Linked DNA regions of Saccharomyces cerevisiae S288C. The protein of the gene in region 2 purifies or fractionates together with the protein of the main gene of each other region. This does not show direct contact. Each region holds a gene or a part of one and is shown on either strand. Other genes may lie near its edges.

Region 1 (6,665 bases), on a different chromosome or scaffold from region 2:
TGTGTCGATGAAGGCGATTTACTGATAGACAAGCAACTGAGTGGGATTTACTACTATAAAAACTCTTATTGGCCCTCGCATATATAAGTAATAAATGCATGGTTTGATTACCTGCTCGTAATACTACATTCTCCCAAATAAATAGTTTACATATAAACGCGCGGCTAAACTTCACTTCGTTACTTGAAATGCCAATAATAACACATAACATAGAGTACAAAATCGGAATAGAAACGCCGACTGAAGAAACACTTTCAATGGCCGAAATACCATTCTTCCGTTTATCGTATTCAACGGTATCCTCTTGAAATAAGTTCCTTTTCTAAACTATGCCAGAAATAACGCACGACTTCCACATCCTTAAATCTTTTATTTTTGTCAAGTTCGACCTTTTCTACATTCCATTGCTGCACGTGTTGTGGTACAGAATCACCGGCAAAGTGGAAATAGTAGCCTTTGCAGCGTTGAAATAATTCCTGTGGCGAATTCCACTGATAGTTATTAAACTGCCACGTATGACCAGTAGTGAAGATAGCGACAACTCTGTCCCAATATTCTGGCTTAGTAAACATCCTAGTGTTATCGACTATAATAAATCTAATTGGTCTTGATATACGTTCGAAGTTTTTCTCTATGTTAACTAATCCGTTTGGCACTGACGGTAAGTTACGAGGATTCACGTATTTTGACTCCAGCAGGAACTGTTTTATATTTGCAACAGTTAAAATTGATGACGCAGCCGAAGGAATCAAAATAATTGGATCTTTGCGAGGGCCACCTGATGAACCATTTGTTTTGGAAATACGACCGTGCGCGCCCTTATGACCGGGAGGCAATTTAGATCCTCGTAAAGATCCTTTGATCGACTGTACTAATTTTAGTTCTGCATCTTTTATTAGATAACCAAAGTTGATCGGCTTAGCACCACGCAATGCAGAGTTGTGGTCCACCAATATACGTTCATGTTTCATTGTTTCCACCACAACTGGATCGGAAACTTCACTATCATTTTCAAGAGATGCTGAAGTGGTTGATTTTACAGTCGACAATTCACCAGCCAAAGTTTTATTTTCTATATCTACTTTATCGGATGTCTCGCCTTTCTGACCGGGTGCTTTCAGATATTGGGATGATTCCGTATTGCCAGACAACCAATTTATTAAATCAGTTCTTTGTAAAAATGAAACATTAGTCAATTGTTTATTCTGACAGTCTGCTAGATAGTCTGCGGCACTTGAGTCCTTATTCATCCAACAATGAACAATTATTCGTAACTGTACCAATGAACCATCAATCTCAATTTCCGTTTCTTCATTCAATGGAAAACTATCTTGGGTACTACCATCACTGGATAGAGTTTCTACCATGGTTGCTTTCGTAATATCATCAGTAGACTGTCCCTCATTATTTTTTAGAACCAGTTTATCGCCGTTCTTTAAGTGTTCTCTCAGTCTGTCTAATGAGTTCGCCATAATTTTTTCACCAGTTTCTTGCTCAAATTATTATTCTTTTAACGCCCCGAATTAAGAAACAGCCTGTTTTGGAAACGCAATTTGAAAAAGGGTGGAATATTCGTTGAAGTACTTGTTTTAAACCTGTCCAATCGAAATTTTCATCCTTATGCTTTGAGAACAATATTGCGTTGCCGGTTAACCGTCTCGGTGTTCGATGAGTTGAAAAATTATACACTAAAAAGATACATACTATTCAAAGTTGTAAAAGAGACTCTTAGCTAAGGGAAGTATTAACAATAATCATTCACTTTATACTTTACATCGCAATTGCTTTCATTAATTTTTGATAAATGGCCAAAAAAACGAAAAATAACTCAAAAAGTTCAACTCCAGTGAATGATGTACCAACAACTGCTGGCAAAAAGAAAGCAAAAGGAAAAAAGGGACAAGAACCAGAGCCAGAAGATGACAAAAGGGCCAAGCAACAAAGTAATAGAGCAAAAGTGACATCCACAGCAAGCTGGACAGGTAAATTGCCTCATACAATCTTACACGAAACATGTCAGAAACGAAAATGGAATAAGGTAGAGTATGATATGAAGAAAATCGGTGATAAAGGTTTCATTGCAATTGCAGTTTTGTCATTCACTGACCCAAAGACAAAAGAAACATTGACTGCAAGAATGAACGATCCAACCTATGACAAAGCTTCAGGAAAAGGCCTTGTAATTCCTCAAGAAACTCCAATTGAAGCTAGACACATGGCCTCCACTATTGCGCTATATCGCATTGCATACAACACCAACCTGCACATGATGCTTCCGCCAAACCATAGAAAAACATGGTATGCCCTCGACGATTTTCGAAAAGATAACCTGAAAACAGACGAAAAGCGTATAAACAAACTATTTGATCTTGATCCCTTCAAGACAATGGTGGAAGACAGAAAGCTCAAAGCCCAACGTGAAAAAGAACAAGTGGCCCAGAATAATCAAGCACAGAAAGAACAAGTTGCACGAACCATTTTATCTAGCCATGGTGGAATTTCTTCTTCTGGAAAGGACAGGCAAGAGAGAAAAGTAGCATCTCATAAAAACTCACATAATCCTTCATTAGTGCGGTTTCCAAAAAAGGTTTGGGAAAATTCTATATTTGTTGACCTTGATGAATCGTCTAGACAACTGATAGAAACTTCATTGAAAGAGAAAATTGATTGGCAAGCTAAAAAAATTAGCCATAAAAATGAGACAATTGCTGAAAATCGGGAAGATCTCAAGGCAAAATTATTAACTCTACAATTTAGACCAAAACACGTAGAGGAAGCCATGCTTTATAAAGATCCATTGTCTTTCTTATTGTTTAACTTACCGGAAGATGATTTACCACCATTTTTTCATAAAAAGAAAGGTGATACAAAAAACAAGGTTGAAATAACAAACCTACCGTTATCAACTAGAATGATCGTTGAGCGTTTAACAGAAATTGGTGTCTCTTCAGATGAAGCCTTATTGGCTTTACAACAAAACGATATGAATGAAAATGAAGCGGCCGGGTTCTTGACGAGGGAAATTTTACCAACTTTAAATAGCAATACGAATGAACCTGTATCAGAAACTGAATCTATAGAATGTTGGAACCAAGAGCTAGAGAGCCTAGAGAGCATTTATGAGGGCTGCGTGATGGACGCCAAGGAAGATTCACACTACACGCTCAATTTAATTGAAAAACTCAAAATAAAATTGAAAGTATATAGAACCAAAAATTATCCTGCATCATTACCTGGTATTGTAGTTTCAACCTTTGATAAAAATTACAAGCTACCTGATTATATTAAGAAACAAATATTAACCAGGTTACTGCATTATCTCCAGGAAGGAAATCTAATAGGCGATATGTTAGTATATCATATTTATGAATGGTTGAAAGAGAATATATCTAAGATAATTGACAACCCTGGCCCATTAATTCCAGATTCAGATTCGAAAGGTGCAATAAACAAAAGAAACATTTCAAACGGTAAGAGAAGTATAAATAATTCTAGTTCGAGAAAATTCACAAAAACCACCATTTCTGAAGACACGCTCTCTGTCCTAAGGGAAGAGTACACAAAAAGGATCAAAAGTTCTGAATACAAAAGTATGCAGTTAGTTAGAGAACAACTGCCTGCCTGGAAGAAGCAAAAGGTTATTATAGATATCATCAATAAAAACGAAGTTGTATTGATTACTGGTGAAACAGGTTCGGGTAAATCCACTCAGGTCGTTCAGTTTATACTAGATTTCTTACAGAAGGAAAAAGGAGATTTCGGTAAGACTAAAATCGTATGTACGCAACCCAGAAGAATCTCGGCTATTGGGCTTGCTGAACGTGTTTCTGATGAACGCTGTGTAACTTGTGGGGAAGAGGTAGGTTACGTAATAAGAGGTGTCAATAAAACCAAAGCTTCCACACGTATCAAGTTCATGACCACAGGTGTTCTTGTTAGGTTGTTACAGAATGCTAGAACTATGTTAGAAAACACAATTGTTGTTATTGATGAAGTTCATGAACGTTCTATTGATACTGACTTGATAGTGACATTGATGAAAAATCTCTTACATAGAGTTCGCGGCATGAAAATTGTTTTAATGAGTGCTACTGTTAACGTTGACTTGTTCAAAAAATTCTTTCCGGGGCTAGCAACATGTCACATAGAAGGACGCACTTTCCCCATCACTGATTACTTCTTGGAAGACATTCTTAGTGACCTTGACTTCAAGATCAAGAGAGAGAAGGCTTTGTCTTATGATGATGATAGCGTTGATGAAAGAAATAATGACGACCAATATTTGAAGCCGAGAGCAGATTCTAAGTTTTTTACATCTGGGCAAATCAATTATGATTTGCTTTGTCAAGTGGTTGAATATGTACATAAACGCCTGAAAGCTGCTAATGACAACGGATCTATTATCGTTTTTTTGCCTGGTGTGGGAGAGATTAATAAGTGCTGCAATTTGCTAGCTAATAAATCAAATGAAGCAGATTTTATGGTTCTACCCTTGCACTCCGCTCTAACTCCTGAAGACCAAAAAAGGGTGTTCAAAAAATATCATGGGAAAAGGAAAGTTGTTGTATCCACAAATATTGCTGAAACATCTATTACTATAGATGACTGTGTTGCAACTATTGACACAGGCCGTGCCAAATCGATGTTCTATAATCCAAAGGATAATACTACAAAACTAATTGAGTCGTTTATTTCAAAAGCTGAAGTTAAACAACGTAGAGGTCGTGCTGGTAGAGTACGTGAAGGTTTATCTTACAAATTATTTTCTAAAAATTTATACGAAAACGACATGATATCAATGCCAATTCCAGAAATCAAAAGAATCCCGTTGGAATCCCTTTATTTATCTGTTAAGGCTATGGGTATAAAGGACGTTAAAGCGTTTTTGAGCACAGCTTTGGATGCCCCTCCTTTACCAGCTCTGCAAAAGGCAGAAAGAATATTAACAACGATAGGACTTGTTGATGAGTCCGACAAGTCACTCACACAGCTAGGTCAATTTATTAGCCTGATGCCTGTCATGGATAGTAAGCATGGTAAATTACTAATATACGGCATTCTGTTTGGCTGTACGGACATTTCTGTTTTACTTGTCTCGATACTCGGTATTGGAGTTTTGCCTTTCATCGGAGGTTTTGAAAATAGGGAAAAGATAAAAAAACTGCTATGTAAATATGAAAGTCGTGGGGATTTATTTGCAGTATTGGAAATTGTCAGAGATTACTTCAAAATCAAAGATTCGAGCATCAAAAGGAAATATTTGAGAGACAATTTACTTTCCTATAATAAAATTAATGAAATTAAGTCATCAACAGCCCAATATTATTCTATTTTGAAAGATGTAGGCTTTCTACCAATGGACTATAAAGTTGGAAGCATTTCTGATTTGAATAGGAACGAGCGAAATTTTGATATCCTAAGGGCCATTCTCACGGGTGCGTTTTATCCACACATAGCCAGGGTGCAACTACCAGATGTAAAGTATCTATCAACAAGTTCCGGTGCTGTTGAAAAAGATCCTGAAGCCAAAATGATCAAATACTGGATTCGAAGCGAAGAGTATCAGGACAAATTAGAAGAATATAAGACGAAAATTTCGCAAGAGACGCAAAAGGTTGATTTGGAAGATTTACCGTTACCTGCTACTAGGGCATTCATTCATCCAAGTTCAGTCTTATTTTCAACCAATTCAGTAAACTTGGAAGACGCTAAGTTACTCTCTGAGGTGGATGGTCCAATATCCCGTCAATCCAAAATACCAACCGTTGTAAAATACCCATTTGTTTTGTTTACCACGTCTCAAGTTACTAATAAGTTGTATTTGAGGGACTTAACCCCAACTACTACATTATCATTACTATTATTCGGAGGGGCAATCTCTTATGACATTGGAGGTACTATTCATTCACCGGGCATCGTTGTCGACAACTGGCTCCCAATTAGAACCTGGTGTAAGAATGGTGTTTTAATCAAGGAACTGAGAACACAACTTGATGAGGCCATAAGGAAAAAGTTAGAAAGTCCCGATTATGCTAAAAAATCTCAAATTGATAATTCTGGTGCTGATAAAACTCTAAAAATTGTTGAAAAAATTATAGCTTCCGAACAATAGTAATCAGTTCCTACTGTAGTCCCTGTATAATAATTATCATCTTCATTTTCGAAAAGGAATTTTTTTAACATATAGAAGTGTCAAAGTATAAAACACTAACAAAAATCTAAGAGATTATTGCGACTGCGTGTTTTTCTCTTTGCTGAATCAGGGCTAGAATCCCGTAAACTACATAGCACATTGTCTTTGCCATATTTTAAAAATTTTGTGGCGCCGTCAAAATAAAAAAAAAATACTGAAGGATGCGAGGTTCGAACTCGCGCGGACAACCGTCCAACAGATCTTAAGTCTGCCGCCTTAGACCACTCGGCCAACCCTCCGTCGATAATACAACAACAAGGAAATACAGGATACGAACACCATCCAGTTTAACTTGATTAATCTTTACGCATGCATATTGCTACATCTTTTTTATTCTGCAATATACATCTGTTTATATCTCATTAATGTTGGTAAGCCTCTGAAAAATTTATCAAATACTAGTACAATTGTTTACCAACATCATTTTCGTTGCTAGAAAATTACTATACACCGTTAAGAAAAGACATAAATC
Region 2 (2,919 bases):
ATTTAAAATTACGCATTACGTAGTTTATTTTGACATTATGATCATAAACATGCGCAAATCCTAAGATCGTGAATTACCTCTACTGCGAGAATACAAATTATAACATATGACTAACGTTACACAACATTGTATTACATTTCTGACTAATTTGAAGTCTGGGAGTTAATTGTAGTAGCCTACTAAATAGCGCGGTTATTTATAAAGCTAACATTACCATGTTACATGACATGCTATTTCTAGCGAGGTAAAAGCATTGCTCCGGCTTTTCGAAGATAAGTATTCCTTCAATTTCCAAATGTCACAACATAAAATTTTGATTTGCGTTATCTCTCGTTCTCTTTAATCACTACAATAGCATCAACCAAGTCAATAAAACATGTTGTGAAGAGACTACGCAGACGTGACGGTCATCTAGCAACTCTCCATCTTTTGATGCAGCCATCCACAGTTTATCGTGAGTTATGGCAAAATCCAAAAATGTACCGTACCATTTCCTCTTTAATCCTGTATTCAATAAGCAAGTTCCCCATTTCAATTGATCTACACATCACTGCGCGTTAAAGCGCACCTAATTTATTCGGTAGGAAACAGAAATAGTCTGCAAAGTCATTCAAGCACCTTTCTTTACCAAATGAAAGGATTTAATAGTACCTATGAAACAATAGTTCGAACTTTTGCCATTTCCCGGTTTTTTTGGCCAGCTTGTATAAAAGTGCACCTTACCCTTATATTGGGCTCTTATTGAATGCCTTCCGAAGAACTGACTATTCAAAAAATAGAAACAAGTACGTCAATAAAAAATTTTGCAATTCTACGAATAATTATTCCTGTTTCTTTAACCTGGTAAAAAAAAGTACAAACACTTAAGCTTTTTGAAACAGCTTTATTTTGCTTCATTAAATAGCTAGGATAAGAAATCCCTCATCCGAAAGGTTTTGTATCTAACTACCCTAGAGAACATTTGTCCTGATCAGGTTCATTTGGAGTTTATATTTTTTAGAAGCTCAAAGTTTGTTGGACTCATTACCATGGAAGAAAAAAAGAAGATACTACGAAATATTGGTTTCTCAGGTTAAATAAGGGACACCATTTTCCTATTAGGCTAGTCGAGCTTAGTTCTTCTAATTTCTTCAGATCTTCTATAATTTCCTATCTTCTACCTGATGTGTGCATGATATATCTATGAGCTCCTGATATTGCTTGTTTTACTTTAGCTTGCATGACTTGCAATAATCTAATCATATATGTTCCCGATTAATATACTGTGCACAAATTGCAGGACATATAATTTTTCCGTGGATTATATCTTCGATTAACGTCCGCGGGTCTCATAAAAAGCAAACCAACTTCGCAATTCCCTAGAAATACCTCAATAGAAAGTTATTTGTAATGAGATTAGTAATGAGATTAGCAATGAGATTAGTAATGAGATTAGTAATGAGATTAGTAATGTGATTAGTAATGCATAGCGGTATAAATGGTAGTACTAATAAGTAAGATAGTATACCAGTTATAATAAATAGGCGGCGATGCTTCAAAACTAATTTTTGACGTTTTTAAGAATAAAGCCTTTACCAGTGGCATAAATCAGTAGAATTCTAAGCAAACAAAGTCGATATGAATACTTCATCAAGAATAACTTACTTTATCATCGGTGGTAGCCGTGGAATTGGTTTTAATTTGGTCAAAATTTTAAGCGCTTCTACGGGCAATACAGTTATAACCTCTATTCGTGGATCACCTTCATTACCCAAGAACAAACAAGTGGAAGATTTAGCAAAAATCAGGAAGAATATCCATATTGTCCAACTTGACCTTACAAAGGACGAAAGTATTGGCAATATTGCGGACGAGATCAAGAAAACGCCATTCTTCTTGGGTATTGATATTTTTATCGCATGTTCTGCAGTATCTGATTCTTATTACAAGGTCCTGGAAACTCCCAAATCAGTCTGGCTCAACCATTATAGCACAAACGCTCTGGGTCCGATACTAGCCCTTCAAAAAGTTTATCCACTGCTTCTTTTGAAAAAGACGAGGAAGATATTCTTTATCTCTAGTGTTGCAGGATCTATCAATGCGTTTGTACCACTTTCTGTTTCCGCTTATGGTCAATCGAAAGCTGCCTTGAATTATGCGGTAAAGACGCTCAGTTTTGAATTGAAACCGGAGGGTTTTACTGTCGTTGCTTTTCACCCAGGTATGGTATCTACTGATATGGGCCAATATGGCCTTGATCATTTTAAAGAGAAGAATATAGACATCAGCGGCGTAAATATTATCACACCAGAAGAAAGTGCCTCTGCGCTAATTGATGTCTTCCGAAAAATTTTACCAGAAGATAATGGAAAGTTCTTCAACTATGACGGCAGCGAAGGCGTCTTTTAGATAAGTGCAAATTTGGCTACTTATATACAACTCAGATACGGAATATACCTTTGTGTAATACACTTTTTTATTGGTAGGTGCTATATGATGTGACTTTGCTTTTGCCTCACGCCCCTTTAAGAAGGTATTTTGTGGCATCACTTTGTATGCTGATCTTTTAACGCTTAACCAGATTTGAAACTATCTCTATTATGTCCTCTGATTTTAATTAGGATGGTATATAACTGGTCCTAGAACCGAAGATTCTGCATATTCGCCGAAAACCATCCCTTAATATTATAGACATAAATTGCCAGTCTGAGAAGAATCCAAGAATCTATTTCATAATGTACATTCCTAAACATTTTGAGTCCATGGAACTCTCAAGGTACAAATTATCAAAAAAACCCCCGCTAGGAACACTATTCTCCTCTAAGGCTAGCAGGCAAGGTTTCTTCGGATGGAGAACTTCTTCCAATAAAGATGACCCCGATTTTGGTATGTGCGCATCACATATTCCATTTGTATTCGTGGAGTTCGATAATGGAGAGC
Region 3 (3,202 bases), on a different chromosome or scaffold from region 2:
TTCATCTTGTACCACGGATAGATCTCTGACAGGATCAACATTACCTTCTATATGGGTGATGTCTTCCTTTAAGAATCCTCTCACCACTTGAAATATCCCCTCTACGTGTCTGATATCGTTTAAGAACTTGTTACCCAAACCATGGCCTTGAGATGCGCCTCTGGTGAGCCCAGCAATATCATATATTGTGAGTGTTCCAGGTACGCATTTCGCACTCTGATATATTCTCAATAAATTAGAGAGCGGCACGCTAGGTATATTGACTTTGGCACATTCTGCGTCAATGGTAGCGAATGGATAATTTGCAGGATTTCCCAATTTTGAGTTTGTTATTGCTTGGAAAAAAGTCGATTTACCAACATTAGCAAGCCCTACTATCCCTGAAGTTGGATTATTCGATATCCTCCCAAGTAAAAATTTTCCTCCACCAATGTTCATATCCGATTATTACTTCTCTTTATTCTTTTATATCCATATGCTTCAAACTATACAATTAAATAGATGCATTAAGGTTTACAAATAAGCATATCTCATTAGATACGGATGGGAAAAATCAAGAATCATGCAATGAATTATAATGCTCACCTAATGCATAGCTGTGTTTATAGTAAACTAGCTTCAATTCAGGATTTTTCCCACATTCATTGTACACTTGAATAGGTCTTCCACTCATCAGAATGCTAATGGGGCAGTCGAAAACGTGAGAGAGAGCCAAAATCTCAATTTCACCACCCCATTGAGCTGTATGCTCCATCTCTTTCGTATACTCATCAATGTCTTTCATCTTCATAGTTTCTTCATCAAACAAATATGGAATGAAATCATCCCTGTGCTCCTGTACGTAATTACAACTCAACCATCTCAGCTTCATGACATCCATGTCTTGATCCAGTTTTTTTGGATCATGGCGTAATTTTAACTGATCTAATATAGATGCAAAGAGACAGTGGCCATCGGGTTGTATATCGAATTGTTTCAGTTTCTTCAACTCGCATAACTGATCTATAGACTCCTGCTCCATTTTTTTCAAGTCCGGTTGTTTGGATGCTTCTAAAGCAGCCTCTTCTTTCATTTTAGCAATTGCTGCATCTCTTTTGGCCAATCTTTCCTTTTGTCTATTGCGACGCTTCTTTGTCTGGCCTTGTTGCTGTTGTTGAACGGGAACATTCTGTTGTTCTTTCTCATCTCGAGATATGGATAGTTGTTCTAAAAGTTTTTCAGGAGTCACTTCATCTTCTTGTTCTGCGTCAAACACTTCATTATTTGCAATTTTCCAATCCCTTATTTCATTTTCTTGCTTAGTCTTTAGTTTATCTTGAAGATCTAGGCATTTCGAATTAACTTCTTTCCTTTTGGATTTAGTAGCCTGCTTTTTCATACCCGTTATCTTATTCTGTAAATCTTTATTTTCCTTGCGATGTCTCGCCAAAATATCTTCCATGTTTTCCAAATTCTCTCCTGATTCCATGCCGGTCATGATGAATATCTCTTGTTCTCTCTACTAGATTGAATGCTGTGCTTTAGTTGGATTTTGTATTAGATGCTTTCGAGATGCCCAAACTAAAAACAAGGCGTGAAGAAAAAGAAATTTCGCGACGCATAATAATACTTTCTTTGACAGGGCCAGGGCTGCCAACTTTTCAGATTTTAACAATTGAGAAATTTATTGTGGTAAGAAAACCATAAATTTCCACTCTGTTGGAATTAAAATTTCCTGTATTGAACGAGAGTAGAAGCACACAATTTTCTTGAAGAAAAAGTAGTTAGTCTTCCATAATGTTCAATGGCCTTATCACACAAAAAAAAAAGAATGAAAGTACTATCAGCTTATAAGTCCTGATTAATTAAAAAAAGAATGCAGGAATAGCACCTTATAGTAAAAAAAGTAAATTTAAGTAATTAAATATAACTATACTGTAACTTTTTTGAATTGTATTTTCCCTGGCATTTACAATCTTTTTGTAACCTGGAATTTAACGATAACTGACACAAGTGATTCTTGATAATAAAAAAAAAAAGGAAAAATATTTCACTGTTCTACATAGTATATACAAGATCAATGACGGTTTTCTCTGGAGTAAATAAAATAGAGTTTGAAGGTACTTTCGAAGGTATTGGAAAGGATGTTGTTATGTCACAAATGATAAGGGCCTTGCAGAAACATTTTCCTTCGATACGTGACAAGAATTATGAGTTTAGCCTATTTTTGCACATTTTTCAAAGATATGTCTTAGAAAATACTTCAATCACCCATGATCTAGTTTGTGACAAAATTAGATTACCGATAATTGATGAAGTGGTTGAACTCGATGATATTAAAAATTACGGTTTGTTAGAGGGTAAACTATTATCAAAGTTAGCTATTTTAAAATTAACCGGAAAGGCTAATCCAATCATTGGTAAAGAAAGCCCTTTATTCGAAGTAAAAAATGGGATGTCTTCATTGGATGTAATAGTTCGACAAACGCAAAATTTGAATGTACGATATAATTCAGACGTTCCTCTTATATTTATGACCTCGCTTGAAACTGAATCTCAAGTATCAAACTTCCTTGAAGAGCATTATTCTTCTAGCAAAGTGAGATGGAAAACCGTAGTTCAGTCAAGCTTTCCACAAATTGATAAAGATAGATTATTACCTATCGATTTACAAATAAATTCTCATGAAAATGATTTTTGGTATCCTTGCGGGACTGGTAACCTAACTGACACTTTGTATTTTTCAGGAGAATTGGACAAATTAATTGCTCAAGGAAAAGAGATTTTATTTGTTTCAAATGTTGACAATTTGGGCGCTACAGGAGATTTGAACATTTTAAATTTCATCATAAATGAAAAAATCGAGTATCTTGTTGAAGTAGTTGAAAGGACTGCAAATGTTTCAAACACTGGAGTGTTGGCAACATATAAAGGTAAACTACGATCGGTTTATTACAACTGCTTATCCAATGAAAGTGCAAGCACGTGTCGAATTGTCAACACTAATAACATTTGGATTGATTTGAAAAAGCTAAAGGTGCTAATAGAGTCTAATAGTTTAAATTTGCCAATTCATTCTAGTGAAAGTAAAATAACACACAAAAATGAAGAGATAGAGTGTCTTCAATTTAAGACACAGTTGGTCGATTGTATTGCCTTCTTTCCGAACAGTCGAGTATTGAAAGTATCAAGAGACAGATTTTTACCCCTAAGAACATGTAAG

Evidence for each region.
Region 1: the proteins of OSI1 (region 2) and YLR419W purify together in Saccharomyces cerevisiae (affinity purification with mass spectrometry, with the first as the bait; one large-scale study listed by BioGRID). This does not show direct contact.
Region 3: the proteins of OSI1 (region 2) and OTU2 purify together in Saccharomyces cerevisiae (affinity purification with mass spectrometry, with the first as the bait; one large-scale study listed by BioGRID). This does not show direct contact.

The regions. Positions count from the first base shown.
Region 1 is NC_001144.5:956,624-963,288, forward strand, and holds YLR419W (RNA helicase), read left to right. Parts: upstream 1-1,804; coding exon 1,805-6,112; downstream 6,113-6,665. Other genes in the region: ESCRT-II subunit protein VPS36, read left to right, coding at 1-87; CDC73 (Cdc73p), read right to left, coding at 291-1,472. UniProt on the Saccharomyces cerevisiae protein: Probable ATP-binding RNA helicase.
Region 2 is NC_001143.9:303,497-306,415, forward strand, and holds OSI1 (Osi1p), read left to right. Parts: upstream 1-1,617; coding exon 1,618-2,388; downstream 2,389-2,919. Other genes in the region: YKL070W (uncharacterized protein), read left to right, coding at 2,715-2,919.
Region 3 is NC_001140.6:76,877-80,078, forward strand, and holds OTU2 (deubiquitinase OTU2), read right to left. Parts: upstream 1,478-3,202; coding exon 554-1,477; downstream 1-553. Other genes in the region: YLF2 (Ylf2p), read right to left, coding at 1-438; YHL012W (UTP--glucose-1-phosphate uridylyltransferase), read left to right, coding at 2,060-3,202.